4 linked regions of the Anolis sagrei genome follow. Each later gene encodes a partner of the first gene's protein in a complex. Links are inferred from orthologs where the notes say so. Each region holds a gene or a part of one and is shown on either strand. Other genes may lie near its edges. The genes, in order: YWHAZ, CRTC1, CDC25C and PRKCE.

Region 1 (8,006 bases):
CTGGTGTAGCTGCGCCCCTGAAGGCCACGTCTCTATCCCATCCTCCTCCTCCTCCTCCTCCTCCTCCCTCACAGTGGCCTTGAATGACTGAGCTTTGGCTCAAGGCCTCTGCAGGCCGGAGACCGGAAAGGAGGAGGAGGAGGAGGCGTCTCGAGTTGGAAGCAGGCCGTTTCTCTGACTTTGTGTGAAGGGAGGGAGAAGGGAAGGGAGGCTGGGGATGCTCTTGTCTCCTTTGGTGGGCCTGTATTATCCTTTTGCCCGCCTTCTGCACAAAAAGAGGGCGAGAAGGAGAAAGCAGAGGAGGTGTCCATCTCCTTCGCAGCCTGAACTGGGAAGGAAGGAGAGAGGGAGGGAAGAGAAAAGAAGAGAGAGAGAGAGAGAGAGGAGCGGCGGGTGCGTGCGGCGCATGCGCGAGCCAACGCGCTCTGCAGTGAGTGGGAGGGGTGAAGGGGAGTGGAGGAAGTTGGGGAGGGAGGGAGGAAAGGAGAGGCGGTGCGCGCGCTCCCGATGAGGGAGCGCGCGCACGAGAGCGCGAGAGTTGGGAAAGGGAAAGGAAAGGGGGGGGGGGGGGGAGAGAGGATTTATTTATTTATTTATTTATTTATCGTGTCATCAGCAACCATACCATTGTATTACATTTCTAACAGAACAAAACAAACACACCGATTAAAAAAAACCAAAAAAAACCCATAGATTTTGCAAACTTGGTAGTTGGTTAAATGTGCTTTGACCAGTATCTGGCCACTTGGAGTGCTTCTGCTGTTGCTGCAAGAAGGTCCTCCATTGTGCATGTAGCAGGGCTCAGGTTGCATTGCAGCAGGTGGTCAGTGGTTTGCTCCTCTCCGCACTCGCATGTCGAGGATTCCACTTTGTAGCCCCATTTCTTGAGGTTGGCTCTGCATCTCGTGGTGCCAGAGTGCAGTCTGTTCAGCGCCTTCCAAGTCGCCCAGTTTTCTGTGTGCCCAGGAGGGAGTCTCTCATCTGAGGTGCTGGGTTTGGGCCTGCCACTTTTGGACTCTCGCTTGCTGAGGTGTTCCAGCGAGTGTCTCTGTAGATCTTAGAAAACTATTTCTAGATTTAAGTCGTTGACGTGCTGGCTGATACCCAAACAGGGGATGAGCTGGAGATGTCTCTGCCTTGGTCCTTTCACTATTGGCTGCTACTTCCCGGCGGATGTCAGGTGGTGCAATACAGGCTAAGCAGTGTAATTTCTCCAGTGGTGTAGGGCGCAGACACCCCGTGATAATGCGGCATGTCTACTGCATGGACTATTGCAACGCCCTGTATTTATTTATTTACGACATTTATATGCCGCCCTTCTCACCCCGAAGGGGACTCAGAGCGCCTTACAAGGTATATATACATACAATATATTATTAACATAGTACAATATCAGTTTTAAATATTGCTATATTGCACTATATCAATTATACTGTAATATTATTAGTAATATTACATGTAATATAAATATATAATTATAATATCATATTATTAGTAGTAGTATTATATTGCATTACATTACATTACAATATTATAAATATTATATGTATATACAATGTATATAATACATATGTTGGCCTTCCAATGTCTACGACCCAAAAGTTTCGTATTGTTCAGAATGCGGCAGCCAGGCTACTCACAAGAACGCCCATGAAATGCCATATAACACCAGTGCTGCTACATTTACATTGGCTTCCAACTGAGTACCGTGGCCTGTATAAAATGCTAGTTCTGACCTTTAAAACTCTTTACGGCCAGGGTCCATCGTACCTTAGGGACCGCCTCTCCTTCTCTCATCATCAGAGGTCGCAACGACCAGCCCAACATGACTTACTCCATATACCGGATCCTAGAGAAGTGCACTTGGAAAGGACCAGGCGCAGGGCTTTTTCTATTTCTGCCCCTGCCTTGTGGAATTCCTTGCCGCCCTACATGAGAGCCATGCGTGACTTAGGGCCTTTTACTCTCGCACTTAAGACCTGGGTTTTTACTAGAGCATTCGATCTCTGTTGATTTTTAATTTTTGTATATATGTATTTTATCTTTTATAATTTAGCTGTAAATCGCCTAGAGCATTCTCGGATGGAGGGCAATTAATAAGTTATTCAAAGATGATGATGATGATGATTAAGAACCACATCCACTGTTTTAGTGTGGTCAGATGTGTTCCACACTGGGCATGCATACTCAGCAGCAGAGTAGCGCAGCGCAAGGGCAGATGTCTTCACTGTATCTGGTTGTGATCCCCAAGTTGTGCCAGTCAGCTTTCGTATGATATTGTTTCTGGCACCCACTTTTTGCTTGATGTTCAGGCAGTGCTTCTTGTAGGTCAGAGAATGGTCCAGAGTGACTCCCAGATATTTGGGTGTGCTGCAATGCTCCAGTGGGATTCCTTCCCAGGTGATCTTCAGAGCTCAGGATGCTTCTCTATTCTTGAGATGAAAGGCACATGTCTGTGTTTTAGATGGGTTAGGGATCAGCTGGTTTTCCCTGTAGTAGGCAGTAAGAGCACCTAGAGCTTCGGAGAGCTTCTTTTCAACCATCTCAAAGCTCTCTGCTTGAGCAGTAATAGCACGATCATCAGCATAGATGAAACTCTCCGTCCCTTCTGGCAGTGGCTGGTCATTTGTGTAGATGTTGAACATGGATGGAGCAAGCACACTCCCCTGAGGCAGGCCGTTCTTCTGTTTCCGCCATCTGCTTCTCTGGCCCTGAACTCAACAAAAAAGCTCCTGTTTTGTAGCAGGTTTCCTATGAGGCGGGTGAGGTGGTAGTCCTTTGTGATATTATACATTTTTCTCAGGAGGAGGCGGTGGTTCACACTATCATAAGCTGCTGACAGGTCTATGAAGACAGCTCCTGTGATCTGCTGCCTTTCAAAGCCATCTTCTATGTGCTGAGTCAGGTTCAACACTTGCAATGTGCAGCTTTTGCCTTTTCCGAAGCCAGCTTGCTGTGGGATCAGTCAGGGGTCTATATTTTCCCAGGTATTTGGGTGTGTTGCAATGCTCCAGTGGGATTCCTTCCCAGGTAATCCTCAGAACTCGGGATGCTTGTCTGTTCTTAAGGTGAAAGGCATGCGTACTCAGCAGCAGAGTAGCATAGCGCAAGGGCAGATGTCTTCACTGTGTCTGGTTGTGATCCCCAGGTTGTGCCAGTCAGCTTTCGTATGATATTGTTTCTGGCACCCACTTTTTGCTTGATGTTCAGGCAGTGCTTCTTGTAGGTCAGAGCATGGTCCAAAGTGACTCCCAGGTACTTGGGTGTGCTGCAATGCTCCAGTGGGATTCCTTCCCAGGTAATCCTCAGAGCTCAGGATGCTTGTCTGTTCTTAAGGTGAAAGGCATGCGTACTCAGCAGCAGTGTAGCATAGCGCAAGGGCAGATGTCTTCACTGTGTCTGGTTGTGATCCCCAGGTTGTGCCAGTCAGCTTTCGTATGATGTTGTTTCTAGCGCCCACTTTTTGCTTGATGTTCAGGCAGTGCTTCTTGTAGGTCAGAGCACGGTCCAAAGTGACTCCCAGGTACTTGGGTGTGTTGCAATGCTCCAGTGGGAATCCTTCCCAGGTAATCCTCAGAGCTCGGGATGCTTGTCTGTTCTTAAGATGAAAAGCACACGTCTGTGTTTCAGATGGGTTAGGGATCAGTTCGTTTTCCCTGTAATAGGCAGTAAGAGCACCTAGAGCAGTGGTTCTCAACCTTCCTGATGCAGTGACCCCTTAATACAGTTCCTCATGTTGTGGTGACCCTCAACCATAACAAAACTGTCATTTTGCTACCATTATGAATCATCATAAATATCTGATATGCAGGATGTATTTTCATTCACTGGTCAAAATTTGGCACAAATACCTGATATGCTCAAATTTGAATACGGGTGGGGTTGGAGGGGTTGATTTTGTCATTTGGGGGTTGTAGTTGCTGGTATTTATAGTTCACCTACAATCAAAGAGCATTCTGAACTCCATCGATAGTGGAACTGAACGGAACTTGTCACGCAGAACTCCCATGACCAACAGAAAATACTGGAAGGGTTTGGTGGGCATTGCCTTGAGTTTGGGAGTTGTAGTTCAAATACATCCAGAGAGCACTGTGGACTCAAACAGTGATGAATCTGAACCAAACTTGGCACAAATACTCAATATGCCCAAATGTGGAGTTTGGGGGGGGAAATAGACCTTGTCATTTGGGTGTTGTAGTTGCTGGGATTTATAGTTCATCTACAATCAGAGTATTCTTGACCCCACCAACGATAGAATTGGGCCAAAACTTCCCACACAGAACCCTTATGATCAACAGAAAATACTGTGTTTTCTGATGGTCTTTGGCGACCCCTCTAACACTCCCTCACGACCCCCCCCAGGGGTCCCGACCCCCAGGTTGAGAAATGCTGACCTAGAGCTTTGGAGAGCTTCTTTTCAACCATCTCAAAGCTCAGTTCTTGTGGGTTTTTTCGGGCTATAGAGCCATGTTCGAGAGGCATTTCTCCTGACGTTTCGCCTGCATCTATGGCAAGCATCCTCAGAGGTGAGGTCACCTCTGAGGATGCTTGCCATAGATGCAGGCGAAACGTCAGGAGAAATGCCTCTAGAACATGGCCATATAGCCCGAAAAAACCCACAAGAACTGAGTGATTCCCAGCCATGAAAGCCTTCGACAATACATCTCAAAGCTCTCTGCTTGAGTGGTAAATGGCACGATCATCAGCATAGGGGAAAAGGAGAGAGAGAGAGAGAAGTGTCCTAGTGAGGCGAGCGCGCGCGCTCGTTCTCGCGGCGGTTGGTGCAGTCCATCGCTTTGGAAAGCGGAAAAAGAGGTGAGGCGCGCGCGAGAGGCAGAGAAAGAGAGTGTGTGTATGTGCGCGCGCGCGAATGGAGGGAGGGGAAGTGTAGGCGCCTTCCAGGGCGCGCGCGCTCTCGCTCCCTCTACCGCCCGCTCGCCGTTGCCATGGCGCCGCTTGACGTCACGGGCTCTGTGTTGCCCGTGCGTTGCGACGCGGTGATTGGCGGAGACCCCGTGCGTGTGTGTGAGAGAGAGCGAGAGAGAGCGAGAGAGGCTGCTGCGAACGAGGGAGGCACAGTCCGCGCCGGTCACCCGCCTAAAGGGACTCTCTCGTAGTGTCGACCCCGCAAGGTAACGAACGGCCTCTCGAGGAGGGTGGGCTCTTCCCATCTCGGTCCCTCCCTCCCTCCGCTTCCTTTGTCTATCGTTTCCTTTCTTTCTTTCCGGGGGGGAGGGAAGGCAGTGGCGGGAAGAGCCCGCAAAACAGGAGAAGTGGGGGGGGGGGGGGGGGAGCGTCGGAAGAGGGAAGAGCCGCGGCCTTGTCTTCTCAGGGCGTCGGCGGCGCCATTCATTCCCTCTCTTGCTGGGGCGCAGGTGCCTCCCTCGTCCTTTCCCTCCCTCAGATCGAGAGGAAGGGAGGAACATGGTTCTGTTTGGAGGGAGGGGGTTTTAAGTGGGCGAGGCGGGGGCGCCATTTTTTCCCTTTCCCTGAGGCAGGTGAAGCCCTCAGGGCGGTGTCCCTTATTTTCGCCAGGAAGAAAGATGGAGGGAAGGGAGGGAGGGGGACTCTCCTCCTTCCTTCCTTCCCTCCCTCCTTCCCTCTCTTTCTTTTCTTTCTTTCTCTCTCTCTTCAGGCATGATGGAAGAAGGGGAAGTGCCCACACCGACCTCCTCTCCTCTTCCCTTCAGTTTGGAGGGAGGGATTTGGAGGAGAGGCAGGCGAGGTGGGGCGCCATGTTGGGGAGCACACTGCCTCCTCCATTCTATTCTCCATTCTCCATCCCTTTCTTTGCTCCCCCTCCCTCCCTCCTTGCCTGCCTCCCTTCCTTCCGCCGCCTCCACTCCTTCATCTCGGGCGCTTTTTTGAAAGGGTGTGGCCGCCGCAGGAGGAGGAGGAAGGGATCGCCAAGAGGCCGCCTCCTTCCTCTCTCTCTCCCCCCCTCTCTCTCCCCCTCCCTTCTTTCCTTCCTTCCTTGGCGAAAACCGGGAGAAATAGGTGGGTCTGTGGATCCTTCCACACAGCCATGTAACCCAGAATATCAAGGTAGAATATACCACAATATCTGCTTTGAACTGGGTTATGTAGCAGTGTGGGCTCAGATAACCCACAGCCCTTCCACACAACCTTATAACCCAGAATAAAATAAAAAAGAGAGGAGGGTGGGTAGTGTTTGAGGCTGCTGGTGATGATTGGTAAAACCTGATGTCTCCTGGACACAGTGATGGCTTAAAAGTACAATTTTGTGACTGGAGATCTGGATTAAGCCATTTTAGATTCTGTTCCACACTGAGAAATTCAACCCACCTAGGGCCCTTCCACACAGCCATATAAACCTGAATATCAAGGGAGAAAATCCCACAATATCTGCTTATCTGAGCCCACACTGCCATATAACCCAGTTCAAAGCAGATATTGTGGGATTTTTCTCCCTTGAGATTCTGGGTTATACGGCAGTGTGGGCTCAGATAACCCAGGGTCCTTTCACGCAGCCATATAACCTCGAATCTCAAGGCAGAATATCCCACAATACCTGCTTTGAACTGGGTTATATGGCAGTGTTGGCTCAGATAACCCAGGGCCCCTCCACACAACCTTATAACCCAGAATAAAATAAAAAAGGGAGGAGGGTGGGTAGTGTTTCAGACTGCTGGTGATGGTTGGTAAAACCTGATGTCTCTTGGACACATTGATGGCCTAAAAGTACAATTTCGTGACTGGAGATCTGGATTAAGCCAGTTTAGGTTCTGTTCCCCACTGAGAAATTCAACCCACTCAGAGCCCTTCCACACAGCCATATAAACCAGAATATCAAGGCAGAATATCCAACAATATCTGCTTTGAACTGGGTTATGCAGCAGTGTGGGCTCAGATAACTCAGGACCCTTCAACACAGCCATATAACACAGAATATCAAGGAAGAATATCCCACAATATCTGCTTTGAACTGGGTTATGTAGCAGTGTGGGCTCAGATAGTCCAGAGCCCTTCCACACAGCCATATAAACCTGAATATCAAGGCAGAATATCCCACAATTTCTGCTTTGAACTGGGTTATGTAGCGGTGTGGGCTCAGATAATCCAGGGTCCTTCCACACAGCTATATAACACAGAATATCAAGGAAGAATCTCCCACAATATCTGCTTTGAACTGGGTTATGTAGCAGTGTGGGCTCAAATTACCCAGGGCCCTTCCACACAACCTTATAACCCAGAATAAAATAAAAAAGAGGAGGGTGGGTAGTGTTTGAGGCTGCTGGTGATGGTTGGTAAAACCTGATGTCTCCTGGACACATTAATGGCTTAAACTTCTCCAGTGATAGGCTGCCTCAGGCAAGAAGAAGTACAATAATAGAATCAAAGAGTTGGAAGAGACCTCATGGGCCATCCAGTCCAACCCCCTGCCAAGAAGCAGGAATATTGCATTCGAATCATCCCTGACAGATGGCCATCCAGCCAATTTTGTGACTGGAGATCTGGATTAAGCCAGTTTAGGTTCTGTTCCCCACTGAGAGATTCAACTCAACTTCCACACAGCCATATAAACCAGAATATCAAGGCAGAATATCCCACAATATCTGCTTTGAACTGGGTTATATGGCAGTGTGGGTTCAGATAACCCAGGGCCCTTCCAGAATAAAATAAAAAAGGGAGGAGGGTGGGTAGTGTTTCAGACTGCTGGTGATGGTTGGTAAAACCTGATGTCTCCTGGACACATTGATGGCTTAAACTTCCCCAGGGATAGGCTGCCTCGGGCAAGAAGAGGTACAATTTTGTGACTGGAGATCTGGATTAAGCCAGTTTAGGTTCTGTTCCCCACTGAGAAATTCAGCCCACTCAGGGCCCTTCCACACAGCCATATAAACCAGAATATCAAGGCAGAATATCCAACAATATCTGCTTTGAACTGGGTCATGGGATGGTGTGGGCTCAGATGACCCAGGGCCCTTCACACAGCCATATAACCCAGAATATCAAGGGAGAAAATCCCACAATATCTGCTTATC
Region 2 (7,061 bases), on another chromosome or scaffold:
TGAGGGCTGGGCAGTCAGAGGCCGGCTGCTGCCTCTTGGAGGACCGCATTTACGTGGTGGGGGGTTACAACTGGCATCTCAACAACGTCACCAGTATCGTGCAGGTGTACAACACCCAGACCGATGAGTGGGAGCGGGACCTGCACATCCCAGAGTCCTTTGCGGGCATTGCCTGTGCCCCAGTCGTCCTCCCACAGGACGTGGCCCGGAGGTGACCCTCGCAGCCGTCCCTTGGGTCTCCAGATGCACTGCATGCCAAATAAAGCTGTATCTCGGCGGCTGGGCCCTTCCGCCTTTATTTATGAACATACGCCTTCCTCTTTTCGAACCTGCAAACATTAATATGAGTCAAACCTGACTAGAGGATGGCAACTTCTCCCTTTACTGTTGGTTTTCCTCTTCCTTCGGCCAAGGCTTTATCCCCATTTTGTGTGAATCAAATCACTTAAAGTAAGTGTGGGCAAACTTTAGCTCTCTAGGTGTTTTGGATTTCAGCTCTCACAATTCCTAACAGCTGATAGGATGTTATGAATTATGAGAGTTGAAGTCCGAAACACCTGGAGGGCCGAAGTTTGCCCATGCCTGACTTAAAGCAATAAGAATTATAAGAGGGGTGGAGGTGGGGACTCTATAAAGGAACGAAAAATACTTGGTTTCATACCTGTTATTTTGTTTCCTCCTTGAAAAGCACACCTGGTTTTTTTTGCTGTATTTCTATGACATCATTTACCTATTTATTTCTATCCAAAGTAGTCAGGCCTCTCTTCTTTCCTCCAGTGCCTTGGGATCTCAGTAAGAGGCTGATTGGACGGCCTTCGATGTTGTTTTTTTCTCTCCAGAAAGGGAATAAATAATACATTTTATTTCTCTCTGCTTCAGCTAAGTTAAAGAAACCCTGCTGAGTTTTGCTCCTTTGCAGCAGAAATCGAGGCCGAATCTGGCCATTATTTGTCCCTAAAAGAGCAATGGCCAGGCTGTCTTTCTTTAGTGATAGAGTGGGATTTGGAATACAGCTTTAAAGTCATCATTGAAGCTCTAAAAGGAAAGAGCAAGGGCACCGAAACATGCATGTCGTCTCCCTGTTGGGTATTGTCGAATGTAAACATTAAAGTCGATATTTCCAAGCGTGTTTGAGTGTGTCTGTTGTCTGTATGACAGATGGGATGCCAAGATCACACTATAAGCATGTTTGGCACAGAGCTGCTTTGACTTGTATGGTGGAGCTTTCTATACATGGATGATTATAATGATGATAAAATAATAATTGTAATAGTATAATCTGGTTAAGGAAAGCTCTTGTGGTTTTTTTTTTGTTGTGTCAGGAGTGACTTGAGAAACTTCAAGTTGCTTCTGGTGTGAGAGAATTAGCCGTCTGCAAGGACGTTGCCCAGGGGACGCCCCGGATGATTTTGATGTTTTTATCATCCTTGTGGGAAGCTTCTCTCATGTCCCCGCATGAGGAGCTGGAGCTGATAGAGGGAGCTCATCCGCCTCTCCCCAGATTCGAACCTGCGACCTGTCAGTCTTCAGTCCTGCCGGCACAGGGGTTTAACCCACTGCACCACTGGGGGCTCCAGCTCTTGTGGTAATACTAATAACAATAATAATAATAATATCTATGTAAAGAAAGCTCTTATTTATTTATCGTGTCAGAAACGAATTGAGAATACAGTTATAACGTATAGGAGAACCACAAACAAAGTTACAAACTTGGCATTATACTATTTCCTTTGAATAGAAGCTGGCCACTTGGAGCGCCTCTGTGAGAAGGCTTTTCATTGTGCATATGGCAGGACTCATGCTGCATTGTAGTAAGAGTGGTTTGCTCTTCTCTGCACTTGCATGTTGTGGACTCCACTTTGTAGCCTCATTTCTTAAGATTGGCTTTGCATCTCATGATGCCAGAGAGCAATCTGTTCAGCACCAAGTCACCCAGCCTTCTGTGTACCCAGGAGGGAGTCTGTAATCCAGTCTCAGCCACTGATTGAGGTTCCGGGTTTTAGCCTGCCACTTTTGGACTCTTGCTTGCAGAGTTGTTCCTGTGAGTATATCTGTAGATCTTAGGAAGCTATTTCTTGATTTAAGGCAGTGCCATGTTGTCTGGTATCCAAACAGACGAAGGGCCGGAGATGTCAATGACTTGGTCCTTTCACTGGTGGCTGCTATTTCCTGACGGATGTCAGGTGGTGCAGTACCGGCTAAAAAGTAAAATTTCTCCAGCGGTGTTGGGCATAGACATCCTGTGATAATGTGGCATGTCTCATTAAGATCCACATCCACTGTTTTAATGTGGTAAGATGTATTCCATGCTGGGCATGTGTACTCAGCAGCATAGTAGCAAAGCGCAAAGGCAGATGTCTTCACTGTGTCTGGTTGTGATCCCCAGGTTGTGCTTTCAGCCTTCATATGATAATATTACTAGCACCCACTTTTTGCTTGATTGTCAAGCAGTGCTTATAAGTCAGCGCACGGTCCAGAGTGACTCCCAGGTATTTGGGTGTGCTGCAATGCTCCAGTGGGATTTCTTCCCGGGTCATCCTCAGAGCTCGAGATGCTTGTCTGTTCATAAGGTGAAAAAGCACATGCCTGCATTTTAGATGGATTAGGAATCAGATGGTTTTTCCTATAATAGGGAGTAAGACCATCTAAAGTGTTGGAGAGCTTCTGTTCAACCATTTCAAAGCTCCATGCTTGGGTGGTGATGGCACTATCATCGGCATAGATGAAACTCTGTCCCTTCTGGCAGTGACTGGCCATTTGTGTAAAAGTCAACTATTGATGAAGCAAGCACTCTCCCTTGAGGCATGCCGTTCTTCTGTTTTCGCCATCTGCTCAACCAGAAAGCTCCTGTTTTGTAGCAGATTTCCTATGAAGCCGGTGAGGTGGTAACCCTTCGTGATAGTATACATTTTTCTCAGGAGGAGGCGATGATTTACAGTGTCATAAGCTGCTGACAGGTCTGTGAAGACAGCTCTGACAATAATGATAATCATAAACATGAAAACTCTGATGCTATTATTTATCCACATAAAGAAAGCTCTGATATCCATGTAAAGAAAGCTCCGATAATAATAATAAACCTAAAGAAAGTTCTAATATTATTCGTATTATCCATGCAAAGGAATCTCTGATGTTGATAAAAATAATCCATGTAAAGAAATCTTTGGTAATAACTATAATAACTTAATAATATAGTAATAATTACTTTTTATCCATGTAAAGAAAGCTCTGATATTATTATCATCACCGCCATCCATGTAAAGAAAACTTATTCTTATTTAAATAGAAAGATAAATGGGGCCTTCAAAGGAGCGTATGTGTATATTTAGAGCAGGGGAAAGCCTCTTGCGCATGCGTTGTGTGTGTATATATATCGGAGTGTAACGGTTCCCGACTGCTCTATGTAGATAGCGGGGAAGCCTCTGCGCATGCTCTGTGTATTTAGCGGAGGAGGCCTTTTGCGCATGCGCTCTATATATAACGGAGAAAGCCTCTTGCGCATGCGTTCTTTGAATATAGCAGAGGAAGCCTTTTTCCCATGCTCTGTGTACAGCGGGTAACCCATTGCGCATGATCGCTGTGTGTGAGTATATAGCGGTGGGGAACCCTTTGCGCATGCTCTGTGTGTGCAGCTAGCGGAGGAAGCCTTTTACGCATGCGCTTTCTGTATATTGCAGAGGACGCTTTTAGCCCATGTTCTGTCTGTGTAGATAGCAGAGGAAGCATTTTGCGCACGCGCTCGAAATAGAACGTAGGAAGCCTTTTGCGCATGCGTTCTCTGTATTTAGCCGAGTAAGCATTTTGCTTGTTCTGTGTGTGTATGTGTGTATATAGCATCTAAGTCTTTTTGCGCATGCGCTATGTATATATAGTGGCGAGGGAACCCTTTGCGCATGCGCAAGCAAGAAAGCTTTGTCGCTTGGAGGCATGCGCCTTTCCTGAAGTCGGCCCCTTCTCACGCGTGCGCAGTGAGGGGTGAGGAAATAAAAGAGGGCCTCCGCCTCCTCCGCGATGGCGCGTGCGCAGTGCGTGCGTGTGTGTGGGGGGGAAAGGATATAGACGCGCATGTGCAGTGGTGCCCGGAGGACGGGGGGAGGGAGGGATGCGGACGGGGCTAAAATGGCGGCCTCGTCGAACAACCCGCGGAAATTCAGCGAGAAAATTGCGCTCCACAACCAGAAGCAGGCCGAGGAGACGGCGGCCTTCGAGGAGGTTATGAAGGACCTCAGCCTAACCAGGGCCCACCGGGTAAGGAAGGCCTCCGGGCCCAGCAGCGGGCAGGGGACGCCCAGCAGGGGACGCCCGCCCCAGCCTCTCCCCTCAGGAAAACGGGGCTTCGCGGGGGGCGCTACGGCCTACGCCCCGGGGAACTAACGGGGAACGCTCAGGGATGGGCGGGGAGGCCAGGTCGGGGGAAAGCAGGCAGGCGCAAATCAAAACAACAGGGTTCAATTCCTCCCTTCCTCAGCTAGAGCCCCGTTTTAGAAGGATTTCTTCTCATATATTATCGTATATTATTATTATTCCCCTCCTGAATGTGTAGGGCTCTATGATATATTAATATTATTATTTGATACACAACAAGATTTTAGTACTCAGCTGGCTTTTAGAAACATAGAATCATAGAGTTGGAAGAGACATGGTGGGCCATCCAGTCCAAGCCCATTCGGCCAAGAAGCAGGACAATCTCATTCAAAGCACCCCCAACAGATGGCCATCCAGCCTCTGTTTCAAACCCTCCACCACACTCCCGGACAGGGAGAGAGTTCCCCTGCAGAACAGCTCTCACAGGAAGTTCTTCCTAATGTTTATGTGGAATCTCCTGGACATTTGTATTGGATCACACGTCGGACACTTCCCAAGTGTTTAGGACTGTGTGATGTATCGGTAAATAATGTGTGCAGATCCCAGTAGGGTGACCTTTGGCAGCTGACAGATGGTAATTTTGTCAGCGCTGATTGTTTTCAAGTGCAGGCCAAGATCTTGTGGGTCTATGATATATTATTGTTTTTGTTGTTGTTGGTATATCTATGATATAATTATATGGTTGAATTCCCCTTGTAATACGATACCATATTATATCTATGATTTATTATTATTATTATTATTATTATCATTGTATTGTCGAAGGCTTTCATGGCTGGAATCACTAGGTTCTTGTAGGTTTTTTCGGGCTATAGGGCCATGTTCTAGAGGCATTTCTCCTGACGTTTCGCCTGCATCTATGGCAAGCATCTTCAGAGGTAGTGAGGATACTTCTGAGGTACCTCTGAGGTAGTGAGGATACCTCACTACCTCTGAGGATGCTTGCCATAGATGCAGGCGAAACGTCAGGAGAAATGCCTCTAGAACATGGCCGTATAGCCCGAAAAAACCTACAAGAACCTAATTATTATCATTATTATTATATGGTTGAATTCCCCTCCTGATATTATACTATATTATAGTTATTATATCTATAATATATTATCATGGGTGAATTCTCCTCTTGAATGTATAGAGATTGCTGAAATTAAATTATCAGTATTATTATATTTATTATATATCATCATTGTTAGTATTACTTTTTATCCAGTGGGTTAAACCCTTGCGCAGTGGGTTAAACCCTTGTGCCAGCAGGACTGCTGGACCAGAAGCAACTTGCAGTTTCTCAAGTCGCTCCTGACACACAAAAAATGTTATTATTAGGTTGAATTCCCCTCCTGAATGTATAGGGATAGCTGAAATTAAATTATCATTACTATTAGGTTGCATTCCCCTTATTAATGTATGGGGGTCTGTGAATTATTGTTATTATTAATGATATTATTATTATATGATTGAATTCCCCTCCTAATATGATAGTATAGAATTATATCTATGATATTGCATTATTGTTATTATTAGGTTGAATTCCCCTCATTAATGCATAGAGGTCTATGATTTATTATTATTATTATTATTATTATTATGGTTGAATTCCCCTTCTGGCTGTATAGGGGCATATGATGCTGTTATTGCTGCTGTTGCTATATGGTTACATTCCCTCCTTTCTCAGATTCATTCCCATTCCTCAATGTTTATGCAAGGATTCCCCCTTTGAATGTATAAGGGTCTGATAATAATAATAATAATAATAATAATAATAGGTTGAATACCCCTCCTGAATGTATAGGAGTATACCCCCCTACTGTGTGTGTGTGTGTATGAATATGTATATAGGTTAATTCCCACTCTCCAACTTATATGCATGAATCTCCACTCCTTAGTTTATAGAGAGAATCCCTCCTCTCAGTTTATATACTAAACCCTCAATTTAGATGCAATAATTCCCATTCCTCAAGTCATATGCAGTAATTCCCATTCCCCAGCTTATTATAGGCTGCATCTCTCCTCTTAGTTTATATACTAAACCTTCAGTGTATATAGATTAATTCCCAGTCTTCAATTTATATGCAATAAACCTCTTCCTCCTCGGTTTATATGGATTAAATCCCACTTCTGAGTTGATATGGATTCAGTCCTACTCTTCAGTTTATAGGCAAGCATCCCCTTCCTTGGTTTAGAGAAACAAATCCCTTTTCTCGGTTTATATTCTGTATCCACCCTCCTTGATTTACATGGATTGCTTCCCATTTCCCACAACTTATGCGCAAAACCATATGCTTGAGAGAAAGGTGGGTCTGTTGCTGTACATTTAACAACTTCTTGTTCCTTCTTTCCCTTCAGAAAAGGAGTGATCTGTAGATACAGGTTGAGCATCCTTTATCCAGAATCCAGAAATTACCTTCAATGAAACACAAATGCATTTCATGCCTAGACTTGGGTCCTATGTCTAAGATCTGGAATATATGTCCAATAAGGGATACTCAACCTGTGAGAAGGACTCAAGAATGCATATAGATAATATTACTGTTTTATATGTTATCTATCTATCCATACGTTTGAGCAGAGGTGGAGGATGAAGGGGTAACTTCATTGTGAGTTTCCATATTGTGAGAAGGGCATGTCATAACTCTGCTAAATAATAACACATAAAAAAACAACTAACACCTTCAGTTTGGAATTGAATCATGGAACTG
Region 3 (7,915 bases), on another chromosome or scaffold:
GAACGTATTTATTAGCTAAAATCAATAACTGTAACCTTCTCTGCTTCAACATTTTCAGCAGGTATGCCAGTTTCTATTTGGCAGCCAAGGCTGTTATACATTTAAGCAAACCTACCAAATATCCTAAAGGTGCCAGATCTTTTTTGAGCTTGGAAGCTAAGCAGAGCAAGCCCTGATGAATACTTGGATGGGAGACTACCAATGCCTGGTGTTGTGGGCTCTATTTCAAAGGAAGGAACTGGCAAAACCACCTCTGAGGATTCCTTAAGAAAACCTTATGAGATTCATGGGGTGATGGTAAGTTGACAGGTGACTAGAAGGCACATAACAGAACCAAAGCCAAAGAGGGGCATTGTTGATGTTTATAGCCATGCTATATTCAGCATGGTGAAGTGGTCTATGAACCTAGAGTGGTCTGAGCATTGGAATGAAGTGCAACACTGTCTGAGCTCTGCAAGTGCTGCAGTTTTTGAATGAAACACGAGTGTTTGAAGATCAGGACATTTGTAGGGAGAACAAGATGCTTGTTTACAAAGCTATTGACCGTTTACTGTGAAACATGGACCGTCTACAAATGCCACTCTCAACTTCTGAAAGATTCCATCAGCATTGCCTCAAAAAAAATCTTGCAAATTGCTCGGAAAGACAGGCAGAAAATGTCAGTGTTCTGGCAGAAGAAAAGACTACCAGCACTGAAGTGATGGTCCTCCATCAACTTGGCTAGGCTGGCCACGTTGTTTGAATACCCAGTCACAATCTCCCAAAGTAGTTACTTTAGTCTCAGCTCAAGAATGGAAAACAGAATGTCAGTGGACAGCAAATAAAGATTTAAAGATGGGCTTAAAGCTAATCTTAAAAAAATGTGGAACAAACACAAAAAACTGGGAAGCCCTGGTCCTCAAGCATTCCTCGACTGGAGGTCAGCTTGTTACCAACAGTGCTGTGAATTCAATGAGGTTCAAACAGAAAGCGAAAAGGAGAAATGCACCAAGGAAGGTGCATCAAGCAAACCCTTGCTGTGACCGCCTTCCTGCTGGAAATCTGTGTCCTCGTTGTGAACAACCATGAGCATCCAGAACAGGTGTCTACAGTCAGTTATGGAACCACCACCAAGACTTTACCCTTGGAAGACTATCTTACTCCGCCACAACTGATCACCTATGAATTATTACTCTGAAGACCAGAGTTCAGTTCCCTTTTTGGCCACAGAAAACCCCATGATAAGATCACCATAAGTCAAAAAGAACCTGAAGGCAAACAACAAATATTCATCGTCTTTTTTCATCCTACCCCTATTTTGGTGATCTACTAGTCTATTTCAAAAACAGGTGACATACTAGCAGTGAGCTGCAGCTCTTAAGGTTAGACATTTGTTTTATGAACACCCAATGCATAAGATGATCATCCAAGCAGTTTCCTGTAAATGAGTAACAAGTCGCAGATATTGTGTTGGTCCAGACCAGGGGTCCTCAAACTAAGGCCCGGGGCCCGAATACAACCCTCCAACATCATTTACCTGGCCCTCACTAAGAGTCAACCTAAGTCTGAAACAACTTGAAAGCACACAACAACAACCACAACAACCATCCTATCTCATCAGCCAAAAGCAGGCCCAAACTTCCCACTGAAATACTAGTAAGTTTATATTAAAAATCATTCATTTTAATTATTGTATTGTTTTTAAGTGTGTGTGTGTGGGGGGGGGGGTGTTGCACTACAAATAAGATATGTGCGGTGTGCATAGGCATTCATGTTTGGGAGTTCTAGGCCAAAAAACTCTGTTTAAAAAGTTTGTGGACCCCTGGTCCAGACAATAAAAACAAAATTGAAAAGCCAATTTCCAGACTAACTTTTCACCACTTTTTATATTGTTCATAACAGGAACAAAGCCTTAAATGTAACCATCCTTATGGTGAGAAATGATGCTGTTAAGAAAAGCAAAACTAGAATTAGTCCGAAAGGAGCAGAGGAGCTTCTTACATCCATTCTTTCCACAAGTTAGTGCTTGTTTAAAATGCAGGATGTTTCAAAAAGATGCACCTGATTTGAAATCACGATCTGCTATCAGAAACTACCCATAAATGAAACACTTCCTACTTGAAAAGGTGGGGCATAGAATTTCAAATGATTACTGCTAGGTTCTTCTCCCAATACACAAATAGTCTTTAGCCAGAGTTAGAGGACATTTCTTCTCCTGCAACTAGAAAACAAACATTTACTATTTTGAGCCCCTGCTAAAACCCAATTGTCCAGTTTAGACCAGTGGTTCTCACTCTTTGGTCCTCCAGGTATTTTGGACTAGAGTTCCCAGAATCCCTGACAATAGGCCAAACTGGCTGGGACTTCAGGGAGTTGAAGTTCCAAAGGCATCACAGGTTAAGGCTATTTGGGGCACATGTGTGCATCTATACTATAGAATTAATGCAGTTTGGCTCCACTTTAACCACGATGGCTCAAGACTATGGAAACCTAGGAGTTGTAGTTTTCCAAGATCTTAGGTTTTTTCTACCAAACAGAGCTCTAGAGCCTCACTGAGCTACAGTTCCCATGATTCCATAGCATCAAGCCATGGCAGTTAAAGTGGCCTCAAACTCCACTTATTCCTACAGTGTAGATCAGGTCTGGGCCAACTTGGGCCCTCCAGGTATTTTGGACTTCAACTTCCATCATTCCTAACAGCCTCGGGCCCCTTCCTTTCCCCCCTCAGCCGCTTAAGCGGCTGAGTCACCATGAGTCACCTTCGGCTTTGAGAAAGGCGGGATAGAAATATCATAAATAAATAAATAATAGAGTTTGCCTATGCCTGGAGTAGATGCACCTCAAAACTAGGGGGAAAAGGGAAGAGGAGGGGGGCAGGGGGCAGTTCCACCTTGTCTCCTGTGCTATGCTAATAATATAATATATAATATAATATTGGGTTGTTGTAGGTTTTGTTGGGATATATGGCCATGTTCTAGAAGCATTTTCTCCTGATGTTTCGCCTGCATCTATGGCAAGCATCCTCAGAGGTAGTGAGGACCTCACTCCTCTGAGGATGCTTGCCATAGATGCAGGTGAAACGTCAGGAGAAAATGCCTCTAGAACAGGGGTCCTCAAACTTTTTAAACAGAGGACCAGGTCAGTCTGTCAAACTGTTGGAGGGCTGGATTAGAATTTGAAAAAAAAATGAATTCCTATGCACACTGCACATGTGTTATTTGTAGTGCAAAAAAACCCAAACACTTAAGACAATACAATATTTAAAATGAAGAATAATTTTAACAAATATAAACGTTTTAGTATTTCAATGGGAAGTGTGGGCCTGCTTTTGGCTCATGAGATAGGATTATTGTTGTTGTTGTTGTTGTGTGCTTTCAAGTCATTTCAGACTTAGGTTGACCCTGAGCGGGAGCCTTGGAGGGCCGCATCTAGCCCCCAGGCCTTAGTTTGAGGACCCCTGCTCTAGAACATGGCCATATAGCCCGAAAAACCTACAACAACCCAGCGATGCCAGCCATGAAAGCCTTCGAGAATACATTAATATAATATTATTCATTTATTTATTTACCATTTTTATATACTGCTCTTCTCAGCCCATGGGTGACTCAGGGCAGTATAATATAATATAATGTAGACTAACAGAATATTTATAATAATATAATGTAATGCAATATACTACTATTTATTTATTTATTATTTATTTATCGTGTCAGGGGCAACCAGATAATTGTATTACATTTCTAACAGAACAAAAGCAAACAAACAAACAGACAAATAACAAAATTGGCAGGTTTGGTAGTTGATTAAATGTCCTTTGACCAGTATCTGGTCACTTGGAGTGCCTCTGGTGTTGCTGCAAGAAGGTCCTCCATTGTGCATGTAGCAGGGCTCAGGTTGCATTGCAGCAGGTGGTCAGTGGTTTGCTCTTCTCCATAATTATAATAATATGATATTATAATTAAATATTTATATTACATGTAATTACTAATGTTGTTGTTGTTCATTTGTTCAGTCGTCTCCGACTCTTCGTGACCTCATGGACCAGTCCACGCCAGAGCTCCCTGTCGGCCGTCACCACCCCCAGCTCCTTCAAGGTCACTCCAGTCACTTCAAGGATGCCATCCATCCATCTTGCCCTTGGTCGGCCCCTCTTCCTTTTGCCTTCCACTTTCCCCAGCATAATTGTCTTCTCTAGGCTTTGCTGTCTCCTCATGATGTGGCCAAAGTATAATGGTGTAGTACAATATAGTAATATTTAATACTGAAATTGTACTATGCTAATAACATAATATAGTGTATCTGTATATGTGTGTGTGTGTGTGTATGTATGTATCTATATATATATATCTTGTAAACCACTCTGAGTCCCCTTCCGGGTGAGAAGGGCGGCATATAAATGTCGTAAATCAATAACTATCTTCCCTTAGCCCTGTTTAGGACTGCTAGGCTGCCTCTCCTTCCACAGTCTGTTACCTGCTGCTCCCGGGAGCCCAGCTCTCAGTCCCAATTCGTCCACACTGCATCATCCACCAAGAACATCACCGGCGTAGTTCTAAGGAGTCTGTCTCCACCTCCACGGTTTAAATCTCCCTCCTCGTGAAAGGCAGGGCGGAGCCTGGAACGCATCTCCAACCAATCGCATCGGGTTGGGTAAGTCCTCTGTTCAGTGATTGGCTGGACTGGATCAGGTTGGCTATCCTCCACCGCCGAAAAATAACAAAAAGGATCAGGAAGTCCCCGCCTACCGCGGCTTCTTCCAATAAGCTTTTCCACGCGCCCTCCTCCTTGACGTCACTGCGAGCATCGGACCAATGAGAAAGCTGTTGAAAGGACAGCCGGAGCTTTTCTTCTTCTGGGCTTCGCTGATTGGCTGGGAGGGCGGAGGGCGTGGCTTGTGATTGGTTGATGTTAGGGCGGCAAATTGAATAGTCTGACATTCAATTGTGTTCTTGACGGGAAGGGCGGGGTGGGTCAGTTTGTCCACAAGGAAGGGGGGACTTTTTGAAGGACTTGTTGAGACTGCGCGGAACTGGGGGCTGCCAATTCGTATTGCTGTCTTAATTGCAGAACCTGCAGCCAGCCAGCCTTGTTAGTGGACAAGATCCAACGGGTTTGACTTTTCTAAAGCACCACTGACACCCCTTAAGGTGGGTTTCGACCATATAATACCTTTTATCTCTGTAGCTGGACATAGGTTCACCTACACCTAGAATTAATTCAGTTTGAAACCACTTTAATTCTCCTGGACCACTGCTATGGAGTTCTGGGATTTGTAGTTTGTTGAGGCACCAGCTCTCTTGGTAGAGAAGGCTAAAAGTGTGCAAAACTACACCTCCCATGATCCCATAGCATCGAGGAATGGCAATTAAAGTGGTGTCAAACTGCATTAATTTTATAGTATAGATGGGTATGAGCAAACTTTGGCCCTCCAGGTGTTTTGGACTTCAACTCCCACAATTCCTGGCCTCAGGCCCCTTCCTTTCCCCCCTCAGCTGCTTAAGCTTAAGCGGCTGAGGGGGGAAAGGAAAAGGCCTAAGGCCAGGAATTGTGGGAGTTGAAGTCCAAAACACCTGGAGGGCCGAAGTTTGCCCATGCTCAGTATAGATGCATTCGTGGTTCTAGTGCTTGTGCTGTTTCTTTCTGTTTATACAGGTTGAATCATCCTTATCTGAAATACGTGGCAACAGAAGCATTTCATATTTTAGGATATTTACATATACATAATGAAATATCCATGCAGTCATGCTAGCCACATGACCTTGGAGGTGTCTATGGACAACGGCGGCTCTTCGGCTCAGAAATGGAGATGAGCACCACACCCCAGAGTCAGACATGACTGGACTTAATGTCAGGGGACAACCTTTACCTTTTAATGAAAGATCTTGGTGACGGGGCCCAAACTTAAACACAAAATTCATTTATATTTTATGTGTACTTTTACACACATAGGCAAAAAGGAACTTTATATGCAATTATTGTAAAATAAAAATAACTTTGTGCATGAAACAAAGTTTGTGTACATTGAATCAATGTCAGAAAAAGCAAAGGTGTTGCTATCTCTGCCACCCTGGTGGGCCTTTTTGGATTTTAGAGGATTATGAAATTTTAGACAAGGGATGCTCAAACTGTATTTTGCCTTAAATGGTGTCAAAGGAGCAGAACAATGTACTGTCAGGGGAATTATTTTTGCTAATTTAGTGCATGAGAAAAAGTTTGTTTCAGGAAGAACAGATGTCCCTGTCTCAGCCACCCGTGTGGACAATTTTGGAAGATTTGGGTTTTTTGAATATGGAATGCTCAATCTGTAGTAGGGGGGAAAGGAGTAATAGTAAGTTGTGTATATGTCTGTCTTCAGGTGTCTGCTCATCATGTCAGAGAGCATTCCTCCCACTGAAGCGGATGTGCTTCGTTCAGACCTTGGGTTTCGATCTGGCTGCAGGACGGTGCTTAATACTTTCCGGGAATCAGAGATCTCTCCACCTCTTTCTCCACAACTACCTCTTACTCCAGTCTTGAGTATAACCTGGGATTTTGGGAACCTCAGCACACTAGGAGGGTAAATATGTTCAGGGCAGTTATGTGGAATGGAAAATACAGTCAGCTCTTTGTATCCATGGATTCTGCATCCACAGGTTCCAAGATCTTGATTTTGCCATTTTAGATAAACCTTGATTTTACTGCGCCATTGTATATAATGCAGTGGTTCCCAACCTTTTTTGACCAGGGACCACTCTCCAACATTAATACCAAAAGGGTTACAAATCAGTTTTTGGTCAACTTTAGATTCAGTTTGGTTATTTGGGGTGCTGATTCAGAAAATTGCATTGAATAGTCCACATCAGCTCTAGTTCCTGGTACAGAACATACGCCATCCAGTAGTTGCCATCTGCTCACCCACAGAAAACCATATTTAATAAGCCTCGGTACTATAAGAGGGTTTCAAGAGACCAGTCACTCTCATTGCAACTGTGCAGACCACTGGTGGTCCACGGATCACAGGCTGGGAACCACTGATATACTGGAACTTGAGATCCACAAATTTTGGTATTCATGCAGGGTGGTTGGCAAATATGACTCCTATGGGCCAGTGGAAACTAGACACTCGATCTCCTAACCTAGGTTCTGGTCCAGCACTGCCAGAGCCAAAACACACTGGAGTTCTATACACTGTGTTTCTATCTACTTATTCCTTTCACTATATTTTTGCAGGGACACTCCAAGACGCTGCCTAGATCTTTCCAATCTCAGTAACGGGGAAGAGGAAATTGTCTTCAACTTCAGCCAGTCCTCAAAAACTTTGGAAAATGGTAATAATCACTTCCAGAAACACAGTTCTGATACTATCTGCTATTTAATCATTTCCACAATAAATATAACTGTGCAACTACACTGCAGATTTAATGTAGTTTGACATCACAATAATCATGGCTCAGTGCTATTGAAACATGGAAGCTGTAGTTCTGCAAGGTCTTTAGCCTTCTCAGCCAAAAAGTGATGGTGCCTCAGCAAACTACAAGTCCTATGATTCTTTAACATCAAGCCATGGTAGTTAAAGTGATGTCAACTATTATTTCTATAGTGTCGATGCACCTAATGGTAATATATTTTCTTATCACAAGTCTTGTCAACCAGCTCATCTTTTTCAACCCCTTCTGATAAGTTTATTTATTATTTATTTATTTACAGTATTTATGTACCGCCTTTCTCACCCCGGGAGGACTCAAAGCAGTTTGCCATAAATCAGAAATGACCTTAAGACACTCAAGGTCAACCTGAGTTATTGTCTCTTAATCTCCTGCCTAATCCTGGTAATGTGACTTTCCACAGGAATTAGAGCCTTCACTTTCCTCTTTCTATTCAAAGCATATTGTAAAAAAAAAAAAAATCCAGCTTCAGCGAAGTACTTTGTTTTGGATTACCTTTATACCATTGTCTA
Region 4 (6,907 bases), on another chromosome or scaffold:
CTTTCAAAGTAAGTACTTCATAATTAAACAGGAAACAATACTTTCAAACCAGGAACAGAATTTTTTTCAAATATTGCTAAAACTGTAATCCACCCTGTACGCTCAGGTCCCAGGGAGAATATTTACTTGTCAGTCTGAACTAAGTTTTATTTATCCATCCACCCCCAGATTGTGGAAGGACCTGTTGATTAGTCAGATGGTAACACTGTCTGCAGGTTATTTTTGTTATGAATATTAAAACATTGATTTAAATATACATTGGTTCCATATGCTTCATAATATGCATACATTGGTTCCATATGCTACATGATTGCTCTATGGTTGTTCCCCACCTCAATCCAAAGAGAGAGGCAGATAAGAAATAAATAGGAATATGGTATCTATAGGCCCCCTGGTGGCGCAGTGGTTTAAATTGCAGAGCTGCTGAACTTGCTGACCGAAAGGTTGGTGGTTTAAACCTGGGGAGCAGGGTGAGCTCCCGCTGTTAGTCCCTGCTTCTGCCCACCTAGAAGTTTGAAAACATGCAAATGTGAGCTAATCAATAGATAACACTTCTGTGGGAAGGTAATGGCACGCCATGCAGTCATGCTGGCCACATGACCTTGGAGGTGTCTACTGAAAATGCCGGCTCTTCGGCTTAGATATGGAGATGAGCACCAACCCCCAGAGTCGGACACGACTAGACTTGATGTCATATAGCCCAAAAAACAACCCAGTGATTCCATGAAAGTCTTCAACAAACGTCTTGTGTCCAATTCTGGGCACCACAATTAAAGAGAAATATTGACAAGCTGGAAAGTGTCCAGAAGAGGGAAACTAAAATGATCAAGAGTCTGGAGAACAAGCTCTATGAGGAGCGGCTTAAAGAGCTGGGCATGTTTGGCCTGAAGAAGAGAAGGCTGAGAGGAGATATGATAGCCATGTATAAATATGTGAGAGGAAGTCATAGGAAGGAGGGAGCAAGCTTGTTTTCTGCTGCCCTGTAGACTAAGACGTGGAACAATGGCTTCAGACTACAAGAAGGGAGATTCCATCTGAACATTAGGAAGAACTTCCTGACTGTGAGAGCCGTTCAGCAGTGGAACTCTCTGCCCCGGAGTGTGGTGGGGCTCCTTCTTTGGAAGCTTTTAAACAGAGGCTGGGTGGCCATCTGTCAGGGGTGCTTTGAATGCAATTTTCCTGCTTCTTGGCAGGGGGTTGGACTGGATGGCCCATGAGGTCTCTTCCAACTCCAGGATTCTATGATTCTATGAATACAAAGCCAAGATGGTTCCTATTGCCATCGGAGTCGACCCTTAACCTTCGGGAAGGAGAGGGAGGAAGGAAGGAAGAATAACAGAAAGAAAGAAGATGACAGGAGAAGAATTCAAAATGATCTTAACATATTAGAGCAGGGGTCCTCAAACTAAGGCTCGGGGACCAGATACGGCCCCCCAAGGTCATTTACCCGGCCCTCGCTCAGGGTCAACCTAAGTCTTAAAATGACTTGAAAGCACACAACAACAACAACAACAACCCTATCTCATCAGCCAAAAGAGGCCTACACTTCCCATTGAAATACTAATAAGTTTATATTTGATAAAATTGTTCTTCATTTTAATTATTGTATTGTTTTTAAGTGTTTTTTGCAAATAAGATATGTGCAGTGTGCATAGGAATTCATTCGTGTTTTTTTTCAAATTATAATCCGGCCTTCCAACAGTTTGAGGGACTGTGACCTGGCCCTCTGTTTAAAAAGTTTGAGGACCCCTGGATTAGAGAGATGGACCAAAACTAGCAAAATGAAGTTCAACAGTGCAAAATGCAAGATGCTCCACTAAGGCAGAAAAAATGGAATGCCAAGATAAAGAATGGGGGATGCCTGACTCAACAGTAGTATGTGTGAAAAAGATCTTGGAGTCCTCGTGGACAACAAGTTAAACATGAGCCAACAATGTGATGTGGTGGCAAAAAAAGCCAGCGGGATTTTGACCTGCATAAATAAGAGTATAGTGTCTAAATCCAGGAAAGTCATGCTACCCCTCTATTCTGCCTTGGTTAGACCACACCTGGAATACTGTGTCCAATTCTGCGCACCACAATTGAAGGAAGATGTTTATAAGCTCGAATGTGTCCAGAGGAGGATGACTAAAATGACAGCGATTCCGGCCATGAAAACCTTCGACAATACAAAACCAAGGGGGTTCCTATTGCTATTGGAGTCAACTCCTAACCATCGGGAAGGAGAGGGAGGGAAGGAATCATAGAATCATAGAGTTGGAAGAGTCCTCATGGGCCATCTAGTCCAAACCCCAACTAAGAAGCAGGAAAACTGCATTCAAAGCATCCTTAACAGATGGCCATCCAGCCTCTGCTTAAAAGCTTCCAAAGAAGGAGCCTCCACCTCACTCTGGGGCAGAGAGTTCCACTGCTGAACAGCTCTCACAGTCAGGAAGTTCTTCCTAATGTTTAGATGGAATCTCCTTTCTTGTAGTTTGAAGCCATTGTTCCGCGTCCTAGTATCCAGGGAAGCAGAAAACAAGCTTGTTCTCTCCTCCCTGTGGCTTCCTCTCACATATTTATACATGGCCCTCATCATGTCTACTCTCAGGCTTCTCTTCTGCAGGCTAAACATGCCCAGCTCCTTAAGCCGCTCCTCATAGGGATTGTTCTCCAAACTCTTGCTCATTTTAGTTGCCCTCCTCTGGACACATTCCAGCTTGTCAATATCTCCCTTCAATTGCGGTGCCCAGAATTGGACACAAGATTCCAGGTGTGGTCAAACCAAGGCACACCTGGTCAGTATCAACAAAAATAATGTTATGGTTGGGGGTCATCACAACGTATTAAGGGGTTGCAGCATTTGGAAGATTGAGAAACACTGGTCTAGAAATGGCCATACAGCCAGAAAATCTACAACCCAGTGATTCCATGAAAGCCTTCAACAATAGAGAGCCAAGGGGGTTCCTATTGCTATTGGAATCGACCCCAAACCATTGGGAAGGAGAGGGAGGGAGGAAAGAAGAAAGACCTAAAGCAGTGTTTCTCAACCTGGGGGTTGAGACCCCTGGAGGGGTCGCGAGGGGGTGTCAGAGGGGTCACCAAAGACCACAAGAAAACACAGCATTTTCCGTTGATCATGGAGGTTCTGTGTGGGAAGTTTGGCCCAATGCAATTGTTGGCAGGGTTCAGAATGCTCTTTGATTGTAGGTGAACTATAAATCCCAGCAACTACAACTCCCAAATGTCAAGGTCTATTTTCCCCAAACCCCATTAGTGTTTACATTTGGGCATATTGAGTATTTGTGCTAAGTTTGGTCCAGATCCATCATTGTCTGAGTCCACAGTGCTCTCTGGTTATAGGTGAACTGTGTGCCAAGTTTGACTCAATTCCATCATTGGTGGAGTTCAGAATGCTCTTTGATTGTAGTTTAACTATAAATCCCAGCAACTACAACTCCCACAGGACAAAATCAATACCCTCCCCCAATCTCACCAGTATTTAAATTTGGGTGTATTGGGTCTTTGTGCCAAATTTGGTCCAGTGTATGAAAATATATCCTGCATATCAGACATTTGCATTACTATTCATAACAGCAGCAAAATGACAGTTATGAAGTAGCAATGAAACTAATTTTATGGTTGGGGGTCACCATAACATGAGGAAGCGTATTAAGGGGTCGTGGCATTAGGAAGGTTGAGAACCACTGACCTAAAGAAACAGAAGGAGAGAAAGAAAGAATGAAAGAAAGAAAGAGAGGTGCGCCCTTCTCTTCCTCCTCCTCGCCTCCAATCTGCCCCCAAGTGAAAGGAGAAGCCCCCTGTCCACACTCCCCCCCCCCCAACTTTGGTGTGCCTGGCCCAGAGCGCACGGCTCCCCCAAGAGGCAAAAACTTTCTCTCTCTCTCTCTCTCGGCGCGCACACAGAGGCACACATCGCTCGCCCCTGACGTCTTTTGCGCATTTCCTGCACTGGAGAGAAACACACACACACAGAGAGACAGAGACACCGAGGTGGAGGGGGGGGAACGCTTCGGAGATCAGCCCGATCTACACTCGCCCCCCCTCCCTGTCCTCCCCATTTCCCAACCCAACGCGCTTCTTTTTCCCTTCCCAACCCAACGCGCCAGGCAACCAACGCCGTTGCGGGGTGGAGCGCTGTTGCATTAAGAAAATATATTAATTAGAGAGAGAGAGAGAGACAAGGAAACGCAGCAAGAGAGGGGGAGAGAGAGAGAGAGATCCCCACGCCTTTCCTGCCCCCTCCCTCCTCCCCTCCTTCCCCCCCAGCGATCCGGATCAGTGGCTCCCCATGCCTTGGATCCGATCCACTGGATCTTTGGCCTTGGAGGCAGAGGAAGAGGAGGACGCCGAGAAGAAGGCGGCGGCGGCGGCGGCGAGGAAGCGGCTGCAGCAGCAACAGCCGAGGCGGATGTAAGGCTCTCCGGACTGGGAGATTTCCCCCCCTTTTTTGATCTCTTCCTCCCTCCCCTTTTTCTCAAGCCAAAAAAGAAAGGAAGGAAGAAATCGGGCGGCTGCGTCAAGGAGGCAGGGCTGGGTGTTTGGCTTGGGTGGCGAAGGAGGGCTCTTTCTTTCTCTCTCTCTGTGTGTGTCTCTGTTTCTGAGATTCCCCTCCCTTCTCTCTTTCTCTCTCTCTCTTCTCCCCCCTTCCCCCTTTCCTCCCCTCCTCTCCCCTCCCTTCTTGTGTTGTTTCTTCTCCTGCTGCACACCCAGACAAGACAGCACTAGAGCGTTGCAAGGACGCCGGATTGCTTTTTTGGTGTTGTTGTTGCTGCTGCTGCAGAAGGAAGACTTGATCCAGGATTATGCTCTAAAGAGGGGTGGGGGAGAGAAAGGGGGGGAGGGAAGAGGGGAGGGGAAGAGGAGGAAAGTCCATGTGTGTGTGTGTGTGTGTTTGTGTGAAAAAATAAATGCACCCACCCTCCTCTTGATTGTGCATTTTGGGATTTCTGCACACCAGGGACTGTAGAGCGCCCTCCCCTCCTTGTTTTTGTCTCTCTCTCACACACACTAGCAAAGAGTCTCAGTCTCCCCTATGTATGTCTATGTATGCATGCATGTATGTCTTCACTGGGTGTCGCAAGAGGAAAGGCTAACTCAACATAGGTAGCAAGCAACCAAAAGGAACCCCCTTACTCTCAGGCTGCTTTTCTGCCAGAACCCTTCTTTTTTTTTTTTTTTTGCCGAAGCCCGCCTTCTTATTTATTGGAGGAACCTCCACACTGATCTCGCTCCTGGCTTCACAGAGTGTGCTTTTCGTCCCAAGGGGGGGAAGGAGGCCGACGACCAGGACCAGGACACAGAGTCCCAAGTGAAGCCATCTCACCATGGTGGTTTTTAATGGCATGCTGAAAATCAAGATCTGCGAAGCCGTCAATCTCAAGCCCACCGCGTGGTCACTCCGCCATGCCGTGGGTCCCAAGCCCCAGACCTTCTTGCTGGACCCGTACATTGCCCTCAATGTGGACGATTCCAGGATCGGGCAGACTTCCACCAAGCAGAAGACCAACAGCCCTGCATGGAATGATGAGTTTGTCACGGACGTGAACAACGGACGGAAGATCGAGATGGCCGTTTTCCACGATGCCCCCATTGGGTACGACGATTTTGTGGCCAACTGTACGATCCAGTTTGAAGACTTGCTGCAGAATGGGAGCCGCCACTTCGAGGACTGGGTGAGTGGCCAGACCGTTTGCGCATCCGTGTCGGTCTGGGTTGGTTTATCTGTCAGTCTAGATACATGGCTTTTGAGCTCAGTGGTATATCACTCTTTGTTTGACAGATGTGTCGGTGACATGCCACATCTTGGAAGGCAGGTGGAGACGGTGAAAGCAGGTGGAGATGGTGGTCAGGCAGGTGCCCACATTGTACATCTCTGGATGATGTGTTTTTCAAGGCTTCCAAGTCTGGCATGTGAGCATGGAGGCACACTCAATCCTGTCCTCCCCACTGAGTGAAAATATTTTAGCCTTGACAGTTACCAGTTTTATTTGCACATGTCTCTCATGCAAGCGATTCCGAATATTTTTCTTAAGTAAGCAGACAAGTAAATAAAATGTAAAGGTTTCCCCTAACATTAAGTCTAGTCATGTCCAACTCTGGGGGTGATACTCATCTCCATTTCTAAGCCAAAGAGCTGGTGTTGTCCGTAGACACCTCCAAGATCAAGTGGCCCGCATGACTGCACGGGGCACCGTTACCTTCCCGCAGAAGTGGAACCTATTGATCTGCTCACATTTGCATGTTTTCGAACTGCTAGGTTGGCAGAAGCTGGGGCAAACAGCAGGAGCTCATTCTTCTCCCTGGATTCGAACCTCCAACCTTTTGGTCAGCAACTGTAGCAGCTCAGTGGTTTAATCCACTGCACCACCAAGGGGCCCTTACAAGTGTTTGCTTACCTAGACATGTACTTATTTCTAAATTTTCCAGAGCATAAGCGAACATGAGTGACTCTTAGGTTGGGCTCCTGGTGCCTTCTGGTGGTTACAGGGTTATGCTTGCCCAACCAGTGTTTGACTTTCGATCAGGCATGGGCAAACTTGGGCCCTCCAGGTGATTTGGACTTCAAGTCCCACCATTCCTAACAGCCTCAGGATCCTTCCTCCCCCCCCCCCCCCCCAGCCACTTAAGGGCTTGAGGCTGTTTGGAATTGTAGGAGTTGAAGTCCTAAACACCTGGAGGGCCCAAGTTTGCCCATGCCTGATCAAGACAGTCTTTTGCTGAGCAGCTTTAGCACAATGGCAAAATAAATACCAAGGTCCCCCTCCCCCCCCAGGTCTTTAATTCCCCAGTAATATCTAGCGCACTGGCATGGAATCATACAGTTCTATAGGGTCCCAAAGACCATCTAGCCCTAACGTTTGTCATAACTAAATCTCCTGAGATAATCACAAATAGCTTAGCAAAA

What was found.
Region 2: the proteins of YWHAZ (region 1) and CRTC1 are in contact, whole or in part, in a crystal structure (PDB 7D8P), measured with the Homo sapiens proteins. The link is inferred for Anolis sagrei from reciprocal best matches to the Homo sapiens genes YWHAZ and CRTC1. Residues at the interface, in NP_001129171.1 of Homo sapiens: Asn42, Val46, Lys49, Arg56, Arg60, Lys120, Arg127, Tyr128, Glu131, Gly169, Leu172, Asn173, Val176, Tyr179, Glu180, Leu216, Ile217, Leu220, Asn224, Leu227, Trp228; in NP_056136.2 of Homo sapiens: Arg147, Arg148, Thr149, Asn150, Ser151, Asp152, Ser153, Ala154, Leu155, His156.
Region 3: the proteins of YWHAZ (region 1) and CDC25C are in contact, whole or in part, in a crystal structure (PDB 5M36), measured with the Homo sapiens proteins. The link is inferred for Anolis sagrei from reciprocal best matches to the Homo sapiens genes YWHAZ and CDC25C. Residues at the interface, in NP_001129171.1 of Homo sapiens: Lys11, Glu14, Gln15, Glu39, Val46, Lys49, Asn50, Arg56, Arg60, Val61, Ser64, Lys120, Arg127, Tyr128, Glu131, Gly169, Leu172, Asn173, Val176, Glu180, Asp213, Leu216, Ile217, Leu220, Asn224, Trp228; in NP_001274511.1 of Homo sapiens: Gly210, Tyr212, Arg213, Ser214, Pro215, Ser216, Met217, Pro218, Glu219, Asn220, Leu221, Asn222, Arg223, Arg225.
Region 4: the proteins of YWHAZ (region 1) and PRKCE are in contact, whole or in part, in a crystal structure (PDB 2WH0), measured with the Homo sapiens proteins. The link is inferred for Anolis sagrei from reciprocal best matches to the Homo sapiens genes YWHAZ and PRKCE. Residues at the interface, in NP_001129171.1 of Homo sapiens: Asn42, Ser45, Val46, Lys49, Arg56, Lys120, Arg127, Tyr128, Gly169, Leu172, Asn173, Val176, Glu180, Leu216, Leu220, Asp223, Asn224, Leu227, Trp228; in NP_005391.1 of Homo sapiens: Lys365, Ala366, Leu367, Ser368, Phe369, Asp370, Asn371, Arg372.

The regions. Positions count from the first base shown.
Region 1 is NC_090024.1:30,751,131-30,759,136, forward strand, and holds the start of YWHAZ (14-3-3 protein zeta/delta), read left to right. Parts: upstream 1-5,006; 5' UTR 5,007-5,132; intron 5,133-8,006.
Region 2 is NC_090034.1:51,927,922-51,934,982, forward strand, and holds the start of CRTC1 (CREB-regulated transcription coactivator 1), read left to right. Parts: upstream 1-4,052; 5' UTR 4,053-4,065; coding exon 4,066-4,248; intron 4,249-7,061. Other genes in the region: KLHL26 (kelch-like protein 26), read left to right, coding at 1-215. UniProt on the Homo sapiens protein: Transcriptional coactivator for CREB1 which activates transcription through both consensus and variant cAMP response element (CRE) sites.
Region 3 is NC_090022.1:76,158,554-76,166,468, forward strand, and holds the start of CDC25C (M-phase inducer phosphatase 3), read left to right. Parts: upstream 1-4,896; 5' UTR 4,897-5,126; intron 5,127-6,334; 5' UTR 6,335-6,347; coding exon 6,348-6,535; intron 6,536-7,188; coding exon 7,189-7,286; intron 7,287-7,915. Other genes in the region: oocyte-specific histone RNA stem-loop-binding protein 2-like, read right to left, coding at 4,453-4,505. UniProt on the Homo sapiens protein: Functions as a dosage-dependent inducer in mitotic control. Tyrosine protein phosphatase required for progression of the cell cycle. When phosphorylated, highly effective in activating G2 cells into prophase.
Region 4 is NC_090021.1:27,413,671-27,420,577, reverse strand, and holds the start of PRKCE (protein kinase C epsilon type), read left to right. Parts: upstream 1-3,907; 5' UTR 3,908-5,327; coding exon 5,328-5,675; intron 5,676-6,907.